2 linked regions of the Ovis aries genome follow. The protein of the gene in region 2 purifies or fractionates together with the protein of the main gene of each other region. This does not show direct contact. Links are inferred from orthologs where the notes say so. Each region holds a gene or a part of one and is shown on either strand. Other genes may lie near its edges.

The links. The genes of interacting proteins can lie anywhere in the genome.
Region 1: the proteins of NUDCD3 (region 2) and KLHL9 purify together in Homo sapiens (co-immunoprecipitation; 3 studies listed by BioGRID and IntAct, with this or other methods). This does not show direct contact. The link is inferred for Ovis aries from reciprocal best matches to the Homo sapiens genes NUDCD3 and KLHL9.

What each region holds. Positions count from the first base shown.
Region 1 is NC_056055.1:89,890,172-89,900,158, forward strand, and holds the start of KLHL9 (kelch-like protein 9), read right to left. Parts: upstream 5,105-9,987; 5' UTR 4,575-5,104; coding exon 2,721-4,574; 3' UTR 2,620-2,720; intron 62-2,619; exon of another isoform or gene 28-61; 3' UTR 1-27.
Region 2 is NC_056057.1:78,567,254-78,577,121, reverse strand, and holds the start of NUDCD3 (nudC domain-containing protein 3), read right to left. Parts: upstream 6,543-9,868; 5' UTR 6,511-6,542; coding exon 6,319-6,510; intron 1,249-6,318; coding exon 938-1,248; intron 1-937.

The DNA.
Region 1 (9,987 bases), on a different chromosome or scaffold from region 2:
AACGGCCATCCATCCCAGTATTCTTGCCTGGGAAATCCCATGGGTAGAGGAGCCTGGTGGGCTACAGTCCATAGGGTCGCAAAGAATCGAACACAACTCAGCGACTAAACAATAACTTACGTAACAGACAAATTATTTTTATAATCAGAAGACTTAACAAAAGTCAACTTTTGACCCTATCAGAAAAACTAAAACAAGAAATTAAAATTTAACAAAATGTTTTATATTGTTACAGTTTTTATCCTCTTTTAAATATTTTTCTACAGTCTAAATTTTCTGTAAAAAAAAAAAACAAAAAACCCAAAACTATCAGCTTGTTAAAACAGGTATCATCCCAATCATTTCAGTCATCTAAAATTTCCATATCTGTAAGGAAGGAATGCCAGATTTAATATATTTAATTAGCAAAGCACCAGTGAGTTGTTTTATGATTATCAAGAGACTTGTAAACTGCAGAAAATTATAAAGTAAAAGGATGAGAGGTGGGATGTGTGAGGCTGGAGGTAGGGGGTATAGGTGGAGCAGTTAACTTACCTGGATAAATAATATTTAATTACAAAACAACAGGGTCAAATGTAATAGAAGGCAGAAACCTTTTCTCAACAAGGAAAAGAAAAAAGCTTATGCAGAACAGTACCATTTCAGCATGTCAGAATTAGCGTCAAAAATGACATAAAAAATAAAGGAAACTTGGCAAATTTATACCCAAAAGGTCAAAATGCAAAAGATGGACAAATTTGATCTCAAAAATTAACTGAATGTCCTGTCTTGTAAACTTCTAACAGACTGAGAAAAAAGTCAATGCAAGCAAATGCCAGTTAAATTATATTTATTATATAAAGATGCTATAACTTGATATGAAAAAGAAAGCAACTCCAATAGGTATTACAAGAGCAAAGGATATTAACATTTGGTTAAAGAGGAACACAGCTACTGAAAAAATGCAAATATTTAACCTAGTTAATAATTAAGGAAATAACTGAGATGTTCTTTCTTGCTTATTTGATGCATGAAGTTATTACAATTTCTACTTTTTCTATTTTCTAAATGTACTCACGTGTGCTATATTTAGTAATAAAAAATTGAGTCATTTAAAAAAATAGGAAGTATGAAATTTTCTGCCAATGCAGAAATCATTAAAATGAAAAGGGCAGTGAGGCTCAGATCCCTTGAAGCCAATTCCTTTCGTTTTGGTTCCTGAGATTGTCAATAACAAGGTTGTTTCTGATTTACACTATGACAATCTCCCAAGTACAGGGATATAAATATTAATATACATGTAAATGTATGTATATAAATTTTTTCTTCAGGCAGGCAATTATTCCAGGGAAGTACCTCTTCAGATTCTTCAGAATCACTCACTTCAGAGGACACATATGATTCCATTTGCTGATAAGGTCCCATTAAGGTCTCCCCTTGTGGTTCTCAACCGGTAGGGACACCTCTGGTATTGAAGAGGCTGAAGATATATTTTAGTACTGCCTGCAAGACAACAGTGTCCTAGGCTTTCTATAGCTGGCTTCTTAGGGAATCTGAAGTTGGTCCTGTCCTTCAGACATAGCCAAAAGGACATTTTCTGATGTGATGCCGAAAGTACATCTTCCACTTGCTCAGATCACAGCCTCAAGACGGATCACACAAAGCTGGAGCAGCACCACAGCAACCACCTCAAATCAAATAGTTATGTCAGAATGACTAAGTTGAGAGACCGAACTTAAAAACCTACAGCTTTGTTGAGCATGCTTTTGTCTTTTTCTTAAGTTTTACTGAACACAAATGTGGAAAGTAGCAGAGCCTAAATTTACTGAGCAAAAACAATTCTCTGAGACTTGAACTCTGTTAAATAATCTGTATAAAGGCAACTCTACAGAAAACAATATACAAGCAGGAAAAGTTAAGTTTCATCTATAGTAATGATTCAGTCAAATGACCTATTTGGTTATTAATAATTTAATGTTCAAGTCCTTATCTACATCACTGCAGTAAGACTACATAGACATTTATTCTCTAGTAGTGAATTCCCATTTGAATAGAAATAGCTGCTATGTAGAAGAGTTTAAATTTACAATTTACTATAGCTGAAGTGCCAATCAATTTAAAAATTATATATGTATATGCATGTATATACATATGTATGTGTGTGGTAATGTATTTTCTCTCTTCCTCTCCCCAGAAAGAGATATGAAACGCTGACTTGGGGTTATACTAGTTTTTGAGTTAATATTCCTCCAGTCTGCTGAAGAATTGTCACATATTCTGAATGTACCCACACAATTTGGTGAGTCAGCAGCTATGTCACAAACCATGAAAAAAGGGAAGCAGCTAATAAGGCTTGACGACCTTTTTTGTTTATTATTTTAGGTTATAGTAGGCATCCTCCCTTTGATGTCTTGTAGTCAAAGATGAAAACTTTCAACTTTGAAGCATAATGAACATAATTATACATTTACTTCAATCACCTACACTCTGCCTTACACAACACCACAAAAAGATATCTAACAATTTTTCTGCTTTTTACATTTGTTAAAATAGCTATGTTGAACACATACATTTGCAGAATACAGTTGTTAACCATTTGATAAACATACTAAGCCAAACAATACAAATAACATCAATTACCTTTTTAATCTAATAACTGTACCAATCATTGTAAGAAGATACAACTGAAGGGGAATTACGGGATCATCCTTGATGCACTGCAAAGGTTTTACACCTTGGTCCTAAGAATGATCTGAAGGTGCTGAAAGAGGTGATTCTCTGGAAGGTGACCCAGGATTTTCTTCAGGTGGAAAAACTGTGAGAGTACAAGCTCGAATGCCACCAAGTGACTCTGGAAGGTCAAAAACTTTATGCCACTCATCCTTTTCTGGGTCATATTTCTGGACAATTTCTACCATACAACGATTATTCCAAGAATATCCACCTACGACATAGATTTTATTTTCAAAGACAGCAACTCCAACATCACTTTGACCTCTTAACATGGCAGCAATTGGTGTCCACTGGTCAAGAGTTGGCGAATAGTATTCACAGCTTAGAACATCATCATAATCACTTGTTCCTCTGAAGTGATTGCCACCAATGACATAGAGCTTGTCTCCAACTGTACACATGCAATGCAGACCTCTGACTGTTGTCATTGGAGCCTTCTGTGTCCATTTGTCTGTATCAGGGTCAAAACACATGAGCTCATTTTGGAAAGTGTCATGAGTAATTCCTCCTGAAATATACATTAAGCCTCCATACACTGTTCCAGCATGGCCATAGTGGGGTTCACTCATTTTCGCAACATAGCTCCACTCATTCATTCTTGGATTGTAACATTCTACAGTGGCCAGCTCACCAGCTGCACTTCGCCCACCAACAGCATACAAATGTCCTTTGAGGGCGCTCAAGTGGAAAAATGTGCGCTTTTCATTTAATGATGCAACCTGCATCCATTTATTATATCGAGGATCAAATCTGAAAACTGTATCAACAGCAGTTTTTCCTTTTGTATCATAATTACTTTGACCACCAACTACATAAAGAAAGTTTCCAATGACAGCAATGCCATGCTGGTAACGAGGAGCATCCATGGGGGCTAAAGATCTCCACTCTTGAGCCCTCTCATCATACATCCGTAATTCTTTACTGACAACCAGCTGCTGCCTCAAAACTCCTCCTAATGTAACCAAGTGTGTCGAATCAGATCGAATGGCGGTTCTATCTGACTGCATCACTGGCTGCATATATGGCATCATTTGGTAATTGCTAGCTTCCAAAAGCAAATTCACACACGTATTGTCTGTTCTCATAAAATCTACTGTCTGCACATAATTGATGAGATCCTGTGGTGTCATCAGTGGAAATCGAATATTCTTCATTAATTTTGCAGCATAATCCATCCGAGGATCTTCCAACCTTAGCCAGCGACAGGCAGCCTTAAAGAGCTCAAGTTCAGTACAGTGCTTAAGGCTATTGCTAGAAAGCACAAAGGCAAGCCGTTCAAAAGGGAGTTTTAGAAACTCTCCAGTACTCAGTAAGGCAGGAAAATTCTTCAGAATGAAATTATTGACATATTTATCTACTTCTATAAGATTGTAGGTGTTAGCAATTCGTCCAACTTCAACACAGTTATCTAAAGAGACTCCTGAAATAAGAAACACTTTACAGAAGTCTAAAACAGGCAAGATTTGCAAAAAGCTGGCAGCTTCAAGAGTGTCCTGAAGATTGTCCATATTAAGAGAAAGCTTTGCAGTATAAATAAAATCAATAATTTTCTTCAGACCAACTTTGTTCACTCCGTGAAGCTTAATGCACATTAAATCCTGTTCTTTCATTCCACCTGTGAACATAGCCTTGAAGTAATCACTAGCGGACGCCATCATAGCTCTATGAACAGGGAAGATTTCATCTCCATCACCTGGCACCAGAGTCACATCACAAAGCAATCCTTCTATTCTAAGTTGATCAAAACCTTGCAGTACCACCGAACTGTGAGTATTGCTGGTAAAAAAACGTGTGGTTCCTGCCTTGCAAGGCTGTAAATGGGCGGAGACGCCCATTTCACCGTTACCAAGAGACACTTTCATGTGAACGCCTTCCTCTTGCACAAAGATGTATGCCGGACAAAGAGGTTACGACCGGAAAGCTTTAAAGGAAACGAGGATGTCCCAAGAGCAAGAGAGCTCGCTTTCCTTATCAAGGGCAAACTGTCACTGCAGCACGCCTCAGAACACAATAGTCCCACATTGAAAATTGTTCTGCAGCTGGCCCACAGAGGGCTGTGGACCTCAAATCTGACTACTATGTAGATGATTCATCACCTGAGGCAGTTAAGTGACCCGGTTCACCTGGTCCGGCCTGCGCTGCTCTTCCCGCAGTTCTGCTCCGGGCTAAGGGGGAGGTGCCGCCACGTCCTGCGGCCCGGCGTCTCGCTCGACGGCGAGGGCCGGCACCTCAGAGAGCGGCCCGCCGCGCCCTCCGCCGCCCTTTGAGCGTCGCCGCGGCTACCGGCCCGTCCTGGAGCAAGGACCTGGAACACGAGCCTGGGCCTGGAACACGGGCCGAGCTCCCAACGCCGAGCCGGTCCTTCCGGAAAGGCCTCGTCCCAGGATCCCCCGGGCTAGGAGCGGCCGTGGCAGCTACTGCGGCTGCGCAGCCGCCCGACCTAGCCAGTAGGCGGGCTTGTGTGGGGGATGGGAGGATGTGGGCCGTGCCTCGAGCAGGCGGGGTTTGGGTCGCGCAGAGCTGTGCTGGGTGGGCCAGCGGGGTGTCTTCGGGATACTTTGTATGTGGTATTATTAAATAGGAATGGGTGCCCGGATATTATTTTTAATATAACTCTTTCACTGCAGCTGAGCTGTTCCTCTAAATGAATACTTCGAGATTTACATTTCTTGGCTTCTGCCTTTTGGATAACAATGAAATGCAGCTTTTCTGGAAGCTGAAACCTGGCAGAAGGCTTCCTTAGGGGAAAGATGCTTTTAGTTTTCCTCTATAAAAAACAAACTTTATTAATTCTTATCCCACACTGGGAATGTTCTGGCAGGTCAGTGGTTAGGACTCGGCACTTTCACTGCTGTGGCCAGGGTTCAAACCCTGGCTGCAGACCAAGATCCCTCAAACTCCTCAACCAAAAAAAAAACCAACAAAAAACCTATCCCACACAATTTAATAGACAGTTCAAGTATAACTCTGGGTACATATTTTCAGATTTTAATCATTTAAAACAGGTTATTTGCCTCTCTTAAAATACCAAATTATGACCATGCTATGTAAATAATATAGGCTGAATTTTTGCCATGCAGCAGAATTCCATCAGTAAATTTTTCGTGCTTTTGTTTTCCACTCACAAGTTTTTAAATGGATAGACAATTGTCATTTGTTCCTGAATATATACTTCGTTGTTCTCCAATGTTACAGACTCCGAGCACAAAACTTCCCATTTTGGGATAAATCCTAATGTTAGAATGCTGCTTGAAGACATACAAAGTTTTTTGCAAAATATTGTCACCAGAGATGTTTTGAAAAACTACATATTGGCACTTTTCATTGGCACTTGCCATCTACCTCTACAAGGATTGAATAAATCTCTCCTGCTGTTGTAGCTGCTGACCTTCAACACCACCTGATGGGTGTTCAGAGTGGAGATCAGAAAGGAGGCACTCTTGTGCTCTGGAAAAACTGGCAGAACAGGTCTTCAGATAGATATTTTCAGGAGCTGATTTTAGGAGCACAATTTTTGCATCTCCTCATATCTAGAAAAGCACTAAATTCCTTCATGGTGATATCTGCTCCCTCGTGACTAGCAAAACCTTCTGCAAAAAAACATGCTTGATTGCATATACCCCTCTCTTCACTAAAATCACATATATACCAACCACCCCTCTACCTCTTTGGAGCAGCTTCCCAGAGTATGTGAAATGCTATCTCCAGGGCAATAGTCTCATTTTGCCCCCAATAAAACTTAACTCACAACTCTTTTTAAGTACTTTTTTAAAGTCAACACTTTGAGTGTATATTTATCCCACTACTGATCTTTCCCTTAATGGTTATTTTAAAACTTACATTTTAAAAAATTCAAATATAGTTGATTAACTTATATTTTAAAAATTACTAGTCAATTTAAATTTGGATATATGAATAAATGTATACTTTGACAACTGCTTCCAACACTTTCCACATTTTGAAGTTACTACTGTCTTATACATCCTTCCAGTTTCTTTATGTATCAGCTAACTGATGAAAATATGAAGATAACATACTATACTCACTGTTCTGCACCTATCTTTTTTAACCTGGAGATCTTAGTCATTTATAGAGAACTTCTTTATCTTTTTAAATAGCTGTATTGTTTCCTACTGAATGGATGGGTCCTACATTATTTGATTAGTCCCTAAAGATGGACATTCAGCTGGTTCCAATGGTCTTCTGTTGTTTCCTGCAGATGGCAGCAAGGTCCAAAAGGGTCACTGCTATGTTCCATCAGAAGCTTCAGCAAGTCTTCAAACTGTTCAGCAGAAGAGGTTGGTTGGAATGAGACCAGCATGGAGGAATTCTTCACTGGGTTTCATCAGCATGGACAAGTCCTGGAGGCCTGCTTGAAGCTGGAGACAGAAGAATTCCCCTGAACTGTGAAAATTCCAGAATGGTTGTGAAAAAGCACTTCCAAGCAAACAGTTTCTCTCTGGAAAAGAAAGAACAGAGCTGCAATACCTGGGAAGTTGTCAGAGCAAGAAATCATGAAATCCTTCTCTTTATTATCAAGCTTGCAAGAGAGTCTAAGAGCTGAGGAATTAGAGGTATGCTCTTAAACAATTACTGTGGATGGATACAATTCATCATACTCCCACATATTAGTAATTTCAAAAGCCTCTTTCTTTCTGCCTTCATCATAAAATAAATGGGTTAAATTTGTCAAAATATTTATTGGTAGTATTAAACAACTATAAGTAAAAGCATTTAGTTCATAGCAGGCACCAGACAATTGCAGATAATCTTACTAATGTACTTATATACTTAAATATTTTACTATATCTCTTATATTTCAGTATTTTTGTTTTGTGCTAATTACACAAGTGTTCATCTTTTTATTTTAAAATTATTATTTAAAGTTTTACTTTCAAATCTTTTTGCATTTGTTTCTCTTAAAGAAATTAATGTCAAGACTGATTTCACAAACTCAAAGGGTGGAACTGCAGTTCATTCATTCATTTTATTAAAGTTATGTATCTAAATCTCAGGTTTTATGCCTTCGAAGGATTAAAAGGTGAGGATGAAGGAAAAAATGAAATGCCAGCCCTCTTGGAACTTCCTTTTTTGCTAGAAGGAAACATAAAAATATTAATCAATTTGTTAATTCATTTCAACTACATTATATACAACTCCATAAGCAAAAGAAAAAGCTCTTGTCACCAGAAACTGGAGGATGCAGTTTCAAGAATCTAAGACTTGACACTGGATGTACAGTTGTAGAACTTAGCAGAGTGCTATGGCTAGAGTGCAGATGGTAACTATATTCCTATGGTGTAAATATTTGTCAACTTTATCTTTACAAACACCAGCTCATTTTCTTTATATTTTCTTCTAATGCCAGAATACTGAATATGTAGAACCAATTCTCACCCATTTTCATTCTTCTGTTGATCTTATGGATTATCAATTCCCTTTATGTTTTAAATCTTTCACATTTATTTTTATAGTACATGAGAATTTTTTTCATCTATGAGATGAGAATATAAACTTTGTGTCTAGATTACCAGGCATTTATATTGTAACCATGTATTGAAACTTTTTTCTTCCATATTAACATCTAAGATGTTACTTTCAAACTTAATTACTATAGATTATATAACAATTTCTGAGATTTTGTTTGTTTTTCTGTACCATGCAGCATGTGGAATCTTAGTTCCTGGACCAGGGATTGAACCCCAGGCCACAGCAGTGAAAGCACAGAGTTGTAACCACTGGAGTGCCAGGGAACTCCCCAGAGATTTATTTTCTCTATTACTCTGATCACCTAACTTTCCTTACTGTTACTGTGTTTACACCATTGCTGTTTATAATACAGTTCATTTTCTGGTAAAGCTATATATATGAAAAGAATTTTTTCTCGTATCTATACTTTGATATTTTTGTTTGGTGATCTTTCTTAATTAACTTTGGAATTGTTCTACAGAGGTCAGCATTGGCTTTATAAAATCAGGAAATTTTGTGGACTCAAAAATAATCATACTGTAGTAGATATAAAATTCTGAGGATTTTCCTTCATTAGATGGAAAAATGAAACTGGATCAGAGAATTTCTCTTCCCCAAAAATCTAAGGTAAAGAAAAAATAGATTAAAATCATATTACAAAAAATAGACTAAAATCATCAGAAAGTAAAGATGTAGCCACCAAAAAGAGAAGCCCAGGGAAAAAGAAAAAGAATATTTCTGCAAGTTAAAAAAAAAAACAAAAAAACCCACAGAAATCCAACATGTTGCTTAAAGACTCTAACTCACTGTCTGAGGTTCTGCATGAAACCTTATTCTGCTTGAAGGCAACTCAATTTCTTTGAGTCTCAGTTTCCTCAAGCGGAATGAACAATATTTGCAAAGCTGATGTAAGTACATTTTAAAGCTCTTAGAAAGCCCCTTCCTTGGAGTTAACAACAAGTAACTCTTTTCCTCATTTTCCCCATATAAACCTATATGAGAATATTTTATGTCTTTTTTTGATAAACTGGTTTGACACTGTTCCATTTCACTTTTGATGGCTGACTGACAAAGTCAACTGAATTGGTAAGAACCTTGAAGAGTGAAAAATAGATATGGTCATGTACACACTACTATATTTAAAATGGATAACCAACAAGGACCTACTGTATAGCAAATGGAACTCTGTTCAATGTTATGTGGCAGCCTGGATGGGAGGGCAGTTTTAGGGGCGAATGGATACACATTTATGTATGGCTGAGTCCTTTCGCTGCTCTTCTGAAACTCACAACACTGTTTGTTAATCGGCTATACTCCAATATAATATAAAAAGTTTTTTTTTTAAATAGATATGATCATATCAAAGACATATTTGATTTATATTGACTCAGCACAATGGCTTAAATCAATATCCAAAATTGAGAAGGGAATCTCCTAGGCTGGAATGGGAAAAACATCCCGTATTCTTTTGCTGATTCTGGAGCCTGGTCCACTTCTCTTGGCACATCTGCCTGGTTTCCTGGATCTATTCCTTTGCTTCCATATCGCAGTACTTTCCTTCTCCTTCAGGGCTGAAATCCCCAGGGGGCCCTCAGCTTTCACTCCCTTTACTTTCACTGCCCTTTCCTATTTGCACAGTCACTTCCTGTTCTGTTGTGGTTTCTGGCTTTAAGTTTTCTCAGGTGGACACAAATAGAAAGTTAAAGTTGCATGATATTTTCAGATTTTGTGGAAACACATGTAAGAGAAATCTTCCTTATGTTGAATACTTTTGAAAACATGAGGGCCCGCAGAGTTCAAAGGAAG
Region 2 (9,868 bases):
AGACTGAACTAGTTGACCTATAGCTTTCAAAATATACAAATAATATACAACTCAATAACAAGAAAACAAAGAACCCAAACAAAAAATGGACAGGAGACCCAAACAGACCATTTCTCCAAAGAAGACATACAGATGGCCAACAGGCACATGAAAAGATGATCAAATCACTATTAGACACATGCAAATCAAAACTACAATGACGTATCACCTCACACTGGTCAGAATGGCCATCGCTAAAAAACCTACAAATAATAAATGCTGGAGAGGATGTAGTGAAAAGGCCAGCCTCCTACACTGTTGGTGAAAATGTAAATTGGTACAACCACCATGGAGGTTCCTTAAAAAACTAAAAATAGAGTTACCACAAAATCCAGCAATACCACTTCTATATCCAGAGCATATATCCAGAGAAAATTCTAATCTGAAAAGACATATCCACCCCAGTTTACAATAGCCAAGACATGATAGCAATGCAAGTGTCCATCAACAGATGAGTGGACAAAGATGTGATACACACACACACACACACACACAATGGAATGCTATTGGGCGATTAAAAAAAAAGGAGGAAATAATGCCATCTGCAGCAACATGGATAGACCTAGAGATTGCCATACCAAGTGAAGTAAGCCAGACAGAAAAAAACACAAATAGCATATGATATCACTCATACGTGAAATCTAAAAAAGATACAAATGAACTTATACACAGAGCAGAAGCAGACCCACAGACACAGAAAACAAACTTACAGTTAACAAAGAGAAAAGGGTAGATAAGTTGTAAGTTTAAATCATCAGACACATACTACTACGTATAAAACAGATAAACAACAAGATCCTAACATACGGCACAAGGAACTATATTCAGTATCTCGTAATAAACCATGATGGGGAAAAAGAAAAAGAAAAGAAAGAAGCAGCCAAGCAGAAATTCTTACTTGGGAAGAGCTGGTGACTCCCTGGGGACTTCAGCAGCGCCAGCATCTGCTCCTGGTGCCTCTGCCTCCCCAGAGCTGACAGCCACTTCCTGCAGGGCACCCTGTGGGCCTGGGGGCTCCTGAGGCCCACCTGAGTCTGTGGTGGAGTCTACCTCCACCTCCTGAACCGGGGCTGGGACTGGCTCCTGCTCCACTGTGGCAGCTGCCACCACCGTGGCCTCCTCTTCTTCCTTCCTCCTGATTTTCTCCTCCAGCTCTTTTCTCCTCTTTTCATCATCCTGACGGGCCATGTGGTCAAAGGTTTTGAATACCTAAAATCAAACAGCAATTCAGTGTTGAGTTCATCTGCAAGTACTGTATCACACATTCTGATAAACAGCAAAATCTGTTTTAAAAAAAAAAGAATGAAAAAGCAATAGATAAGAAAATGTTCCCACTGGCAAAACAGAAATGCACTTCAGCTTCACCAAAAGCCACTTTGAAAACAATCTTTAACAGGGGAGTTCCAAAATCAACGAAAAAGTGAAATTTATAAGCCAAGGCTCACAATATTTACATGCCTATGAGCCCAACATTTAAGTCAAAAGGATGTGTAACTAAATGGTCTCATCTGTCATTACTTCTATAGCCCCAGAGAGTCTTGTTCAAAATGCAAAGAACCCACTGCCCTGGTGCTGAGAGCTATAAAGGCCCCAACAACTCAGATGCTAAAAGGGAAGATGGGGAATTAGTTGAATTTCAATCCACAATATAGGCCGGCTCGCTGGATTGCTGCTATCATCCTACACTGCATGGGAGGAGGGACAGTGCAAGTCTTACCCTGGGAATTCAAAAGACATTCACAATGTGCCTAAAGCTTGCCAGGAGCACCAAAAACCCAACGACAGCTCCCACCCTTGAAGAACTCAATTTCCTGGCATGTGGATCAGTCATTAATCTTTCCTGGGACACAGTCACACCCAAAAAAGTGCTGCAACTCTCCATCCAAAAAGTGCACAGGAAAACGGCACTTTGCATGCACTATTCTAGGCTGCACATAACCCTGAAGTGTGGCCAGGACAGACCCAGAAGTGACAAGTCTGACAGGAAAGGCTGTGATAGATACATGTGATGCCATCGGAATGTGGGTGCAAACGAGCATTCTGGTGAGAGCGAGCTAAGGACATTTCTTAGAAGAAGAGGGTCTGAATCAGACCTTGAATGAGAGGTACATCTTCCAGAGGAAATGTCACAGCGCCAAGAGGTGGGCTCATCAAGAAGTATCTCTTATGGCAGCTGGAGACAGGAAAGCCAGAAGATCCACCTTGAAAAGTGGGTGGGAGGAGACCCTTACATTCAATCCAGCAACTATGCTCCTTGGTATTTACCCAAAGAAGTTGAAAACATGTACCAACAAAAACCTGTCCATGGATGTTTATAGCAACTTTATTCATAATAGCCAAAACTTGGAAGCAACCAAGATATCCTTCAATAAATGATGGGATAAACAAACTGGTACATCCAGACAATGGAATATTATTCTGCCATAAAAAGAAATGAGCTATCAGCCATGAAGAGGCATGGAGGTTATTTAAATGCATTATCAGTAAAAGAAGCCAATTTGAAAATGCTACACAATGTGTGATTCCAACTATATGACACTGTGGAAAAGGCAAAACTTTGGAGACAATAAAAAGACCAGTGGTTGCCAGAGGTTGAGGGCAGAAAGGAATGAACAGGTAAGACTACACAGGATTTTTTTAGGGGAGTGAAAATACTCTGTGTGATGTCATAATGAGGGATGCATGTCATCATACATTTGTCCAAACCTCATAAAGTGAACAACACTAAGAATACCTCCAAAGTGAAGTCTGGGTTTGGGTGACTATGATACGTCAATGCAGGTCCATCCATTGTAAGAAATGTACCACTCTGGCGGGGGATATTGACAATAGGGGAAGCTGTAGGGGTGGGGGTGGCAGGGGGTAAATGGGAATCTCTGTACTTTCCCCTCAATTTTGTTCTGAACCTAAAACAACTCTAAAAAGTAGTCTTAACAAAATAAAAATGTTTTAAAGTGTGTAGGAGTCAGTTTCCAAAGGGTTAGAATGCAGACAGGGGCTAAATAACTGCTGTGTGCACTGGGCAAGAAGACAGAACAAGAGAAGTTACAATGTCAGTGTTTTTATAAACATTCTCTCACAACCCTCAGGAAAATGCTGTTAGGAAGATAGCACTGATATTCCAAAGATGAGGGAAGACTAAGCTCAGAGAGTACCTTGCCCAAGATTCTGCCAATGAAAGAAGAAAGTAAACAATTATACAGGAAACACATTAAACACTGAAAGGAAATGGAGGCAAAGGAAGGCAAGGGAAATCCTAAGGTTAAAAACTAGGAACAGTACCTATCTCTGCTTCTCCAGAGAACCTGAGCCCCTGACTCACTCCTCTCACACCCATGTCAATGACACCAGACACCAGACCCACTGCCCTCAGAGCCGTTCATCTTCCTGACACACCACATCTTCATCTTAACTCCAGAAAAGAAGTAACAGCAAGGGCTCGTTCCAAACACTGGGAACCTCCCTTGGACCCCAGGCCTCATACTCCTGATGACACTGTGGTCCACACTACCCTTGCTTACTGAGCATTCCTGCCTCCTCTAAGATGACACCTGCTTCACCTCTCACATCGCCGCTGACCTCAGCACTCATTTCAGAATGCTGGAATGCGGAGCTGGAAGACGTGTCCCTGACCTCCAATCAACCTTCTCAACTGACAGAGAGAAGAGTGATTCTCCCAAGACTTCCCAAGAAGCTCCGGGAGGAGCAAAAAGAGCTAGCTTTCCTGACTCTCACGGGGAGGTGGGCGGGGGGCGGGGGGGGGGGGTACCTTTTAAGCAGGCTTCCCAAACTGAACTCCAGAATAAACACACGTTCAACTGAAATGAACAAAATGTCAGTCTCAATTACTGTTTTCTTAAAATATACTTATAAATAAGGGAGTGGAATACAATTTCCACATGCATCTTTCCTGCTGAAGGTCCTTTAAACTGTACAGCCTGGCTGTGCAACCCCTTAGAACTGGGAGGAAAAGTTGAAGAAGGTTTAAACCACACAAACATCCCATACCCCCAAATATCAGGGGAAAACAGGAGTTCCAGAATGGAGCACTACAATACTGCCATCCAAACTCTCTTTGCCTGAGTTCTGAAGAGACCCCCAAGCACCCCACTGCCCAATGCCTCTGTGAATAAAAGAACAGCTCCCCAGGATTTACCCTGATTTACTCAACCAAAATAACCAGAGGATATCTTTTAAAGTTCCTTGGGCAATGCTGACGATTGAGAACCACTCTGAAAAAACACTACACTCCTCTTAACTACCTGCTAGAAATTGTCCCTCCTGGTTTCCATGGAACTTACTGCGCTGCCCACTTCCTTCCATCCCCCTCCCACTCCCACAGCCTCTTGCTTCTCCAGTTCCTTCTCTGGGGTCCTTCTGTCCAAAGGCACCTTCTCTCTGCCGTGCTCCTTCACCTTCAGCTCCTCTCCTTCAAACCACTCAGATTCTTCTACCTCCCATGAGATTCAGTCCCACAATTCAACAGCCTATGGACAGAGACTTCTGTCTGAAATCTCCAATTCAACTTGTCTAAAACTAAGCTTCTTCCCCTAAACTCAGGTGACAGTTCAGTGAATGCATTACCAATATTACAGTGCCCTGGACTGAAACCTTGGGTCACCGCTGGCCCATCCCACCTCTCTCTCTGCCTTGTTCCCCACCTCCACTTTATTAAACTGTTCACCAAGTCTTAACCTTTGAGAGTGTCTAAAACATAGTAGGTGTCTTACATACTGTTACCAGATTCATGAATTACCTCTGTCAGTTTACCTGTAAAACAAGGAAAAAGATCAACCTATTCAGGTTGTTAGGAACAAATGACAACCTAGAACAAAAATTACATAACAACTACTAGGTGCTCAGTAAATGGTCCTTTCTTTTTTCTGCAAAAGATCACCCTAGACAAAAGTGTTGCCACTCTACAATGGATTGGTTAAATAATAGAACAGAAAGATATGGAATCAGAAAAATGAAGTTTTGAGCTCTAGCTCTATGATGAGTTTGGTCAAACCACTTGATCTGCTGAACTAGCACCCTCATTTGCCACATAAAATTCATCCTTATCTACTTCACAGGCTTCCGGGAAATTATTAATTTGCCAAAGGATTTGCTAAAAACCATCTCTGACACACAGTTCTCTGATCACTTGGATGGTACTTAACCACTACAAGGATGAGGAACAGCCTTAAGTTTTCAAACTGAATACCAACCTCACTCCTCATTTGACCATATTATCTCTGGTAGTTATTCAAACATTCTAAGCTTTTGTTTCTTCATGCAGGCACTTAGGAAAGTAATATCGGGCCAACCTGAAGCGAGTAAAAAGACTTCACGAGATAAACCTTTGAAATCACTTCATAAACTGTAAAGTGCTAGACGACAGTGAGAGGTATCGCCAGCATTTCCACCTTCTCAGGTTCCTGGCTCAATGCTTGACTGAGTATCCTCTGTCGATCCCATCAAAATTCCACCTCCTCTACAAAACTCGTCTTCATTTCCAAAAGATCATTTCTATTCCCTTCCTTCCAATGGCTTTGTCAGGTAACAGGCAAAGATCCCTGCTACTGTATTTCATCTCTTTAAATATAGCGTAAGTGTCCCAAGCAGAGAAACCATTATTTAACCATCCGCATAACCAGTGTATCTCTAATGCCTGCAGCGGCTGAGTGTGAACTCTTGCTTATTACATTTCAAATACCCCGTCAACTACAGTGAATGACAGCCTCCAACAATAAGCTTAACCTGGGATGCACACATATATGCTCATATGTAAACTTATTAAGTACTATTATACTATGTCTTCGATGTAAAAAGTCACATTTCAAATAAGAGACCCACACCCATCATACAGCCTCCCTCTCGTCCAGTAGTCGTAATTCTGGGGTGTGCAGGTGTCCGTGCTGCCGCCGCCCCTTCCCCAAGTCTAGCCTGCAGTTTTCATTCTCTGTCACTCGAAGGGTTACGCGCTGCTGGAGCTGACCGGAGCCCTAAGCTTCTGATATCCAAATGCACCCTATCGGACCAAGCTGCTATAGAGCCGGCACCTCTCGCACAGGAGTAAACTGATAACAGACCAGCATCTCGGCAGAAGCCGCGGCCGCAGAAGGCGGGTCGGGGGAAGCGCCAGAGGATGAACTGAGGCCGGCAGCGGAGGAAGCGGCGGGCTCGCAGGAGCCTGAGCTCCCAGAGGGTGGGAGACTACGGGAGCGGGTTCGCGGGGGTCGGGGCTCCCACGATCTTCCCCACCTCACCCCAAGCTTCCCGCCTACCGCGCGTTACCTGCAGCACCAGCGCCTGCGCGGCCCCCGGGGGAAAGCCCATGCGGTCCGACGGGTGGCGCAGCAGGCGGTAGAAGTCCGTTTTGCGGTAGAGGAAGCCGAAAAGCACACGCAGAAAGTCCTGAACGTTGCCCACGTGCTGCAAGATGCCCAGCAGGGCCTGATCGTACAGCTCGGCCGCCCCAGGCTCCATGGCGTCGCCGGCCGGAGGAAAGCTCACTCACTGCGGGCGCGGCCCGGACGCCGGCCTATGGCCACTTCCGGTGCTCTGCAGTAATGGCCTCGGCCGCTAGCGCGCCCGGGAAACTTCCGGTCCGCTCTTGTTCGCCCCCGCGGTGGAGCTGGGCTGGACTGCGCTGGAGCCGACTGGACCCGGGCACCGCCCCTACTGCCCCCGGGCTTCTCGGGCGGTCTCGCTGAGGAGCAGAAGGCCCCGAAGCGCAAGAGGACCCGGGGCTGCGGCATTGAGGGCGCCTAGTGGCCATGTTGGAAACTGGCGGAAAAGTTGTAACGCGGGCAACAACTGTTACGTGAGCCACGCTGTTGTCACGTGGTTTGTGGGCTGTGTTCCAGACTGGATGTCCAGAAACAAGGCGGGACAGCGAGAACATTTTGCTTGAGAGTCCAAAGAGGAAAATGCGACCTTTCTGTTGGTGTGTTTCCCGTTACTAACATAGTCGTGAGTGAAATGCAAGGTGATGTGCATAAATAAAAGAAGACAAGATTGTCAAGTGAGTGCATGTACCAGTATTAAATGGACAGAGCTAGATGCAGAATAGAGAATCTGGTGTGCCATCCTGTGAAATATACATATACGTATGTATATATGTGTGTGTGTAGTATATATGTGTACGCACAGTATATATATACTCACACAGCATGTATACGTGTTCTAAGGGTCTTTCAAAGCATAATCTGAAAATCGAAGCATAACACTCAAATATATAATGAACACATCAGAGATTTATCCATTTTAATTGACAGCTTTTCGAGAAACTGGGTATTTATAACTTTCAGAAAGCAGTAAGATGGCTAGATTGTATACAAAGCTGGCTGGTGTCCTATAAAATGGTGTAGATTATCTTTCCTAGTGGATGGAAATGATTTGCATCTCTACTGGCCTGAGATCTACAAGTTAACATGTTTCTTCATAGTATATGGACTCTAATGAATTGTAAATAAAGTCAAACTCAGATAAATTGCTCTAGAGCAGTGATTCCGAAACTTTTTGGACTTAGGACCTATTTACAGGGGATTCCCTGAGGGTCCAGTGGTTAGGACTCTGCATCAGAGTGCCCAGGTTCAATCCCTGGTCCAGGAACAAAGATCCCGCAAGTGTGGCCATGGCCAAAAGGAGAAAAAAAAGACCCATTTTCATTCTTAAAATATATCAAAGATTCTTTGGAGTCTTCATAAATTTTATGTGTGTTATGTTTATTGATAGTTACCATATTGGACATAAAAACAAAATGTTTAAATATTTATTTATGCATTTTAATATAATAAAAATATGTTAACATTTTTGTAAAGAAGTAAGGTCCTTCGCAAAGAGTCGGACACGACTGAGCGACTGACGGAACTGAACTGAACTGAAGGTTCTTCAGAGCAGTAAAAGTTTATGAGAAACAAAGCATCCTTTAAAATTTTTGCAAATCTCTTTACTATCTAGCTTAATTGAATCGATGACAGCCAGATTCTCATATCTGCTGCATTCACTGCATTGCAGTATGGTATTTTGATTGAAGTATGAGAAACCCAGTCTTATACAAATAGCAGTTTAATTGGCCTTTTCAAATAAATGTATTATTCTTGGAAACTACACCAACATTCAACAAATTGTAGTTTCTTAAAGATTAGTTGCACTGTGAAATCTGAAATTGTATCAATAAACGTCTCCTACTTTGTCACATTAATATCCATTGGTCTGTCCTAATAATTTGAGTGGATCTTTGTTCACAATCTAGTCTCTGTATACACAGAGCAAGGAGAGATGGAAGAAAGAGGCAGACCACTTCAGACTGGTAGGTAGGTTTAATAAGCAAGGACAGTTACTTGTCCTAGGCAGCCACAAGACCAGTATATTTTCACGTCCACTCTGCCAGAATCACAAACGTTTATACAGACACCTTAACTGGGTTCAATCACATACACTATCCAGATGGTCTCAAAAACACCTTCCTTTCTCCAGGTGTTGAGAGGAAGATGTTGTTGAAAACAACTCTCGCTGTGGGAATGGTAGGCAGAGCATACATTACAAGGACAGAGGAAGAGGTGAGGAGTCTCCCATTGCCTGGGTCTAGCTAGAGGGTCAGCCAGGGATCGTGTTCCCCTGAATACCCCCAACAAACTTTTACACACGTGATTTTGTAAAATCAGAATGGAAGAAGGAATGTGATGCAAGAATCTAACTATATTAAAAATGTATAAGGGCTTCCCTGGTGGTCCAGGGGTTAAGAATCCAACCAATGCAAGAGAAATGAGTTCAGTCCCTGGCCCGGGGAATATTCCACATGCTGCAGAACAACGAAACCCGTGCCCCACAACTACTGAACCCACACACCTAGAGCCCGTGCTCTACAACCACAAGGCACTGCAATGAGAAGCCCATGCGCCACAACTAAAGAGTAGCCCCCGATCTCCGCAACTAGAGAAAGCCTGAAGACAGAAACAAAGACCTAGCTCAGCCAAAAATAAACAAATAGATATTTTTTTAGTGTATGAAGCAGCTTCTCTGAAAGGGATACTGACCCCATCTGAAAGATGCTAACCCAAGTAACTTTGGAAAGCAATGGTGTCTATAAGACTAAAGGCAAAAGGAATTGCATGTAAACACTAAATTCTAAAGTTGTTTTCCACAGGAGTGTAGGTTATCATTTCTCAGACTCCTGCGTATGTATAAAGGTAATCAACAACTAAGTAAATGGTGAGGGTTATGGAGCCCGGCTTCTCATTAGTGGCATGAGAGGCTACAGAGAAGCAAGAAAGAAACCTAGAATGATTCATGTGGTTATGGGTTAGAACTGGAGGTATCAGCATAAACTCCTGTTTAGCTTAGTGTAGATACAGATGGCTTTTCATAGAAATATTTCTAGAAATGTGTACATATACAGGTCAGTATTCACATATGTATGCCCTTGCTCTCTCAGCTGAGAGGATCAGAAGCAACAAAGCCCCAGCAGCAACACACACTGAATACCCAGATCCTGATTTCTAAGCTTATCTCCAGATGAAGGACTGGAACTCCTGGGAGAAATGGCTGACTCTAGGACTGGGATAGAAATATACAAGTTGAGCTTATACCATCTTATAATGCCAGGAGATACGGAAGTGCTCAAAAAGGGAGGGAAAACCCACAGTGAAGGGAATATGTCAGAGGGACCTAGGAGCCAACTGGAAGAGTTCCCAATGGCGAAATGTGGAGCAAATAGTCACTATATTAAGACCCAAAGTTAAAAATGAGCATCCTTGGTTCCATACTGATAAAGATAGCATACTGAATAAATAATAAATGGAGGAGAACAATTTTCCTGTTCAGAAGAGTTCCAAATCAT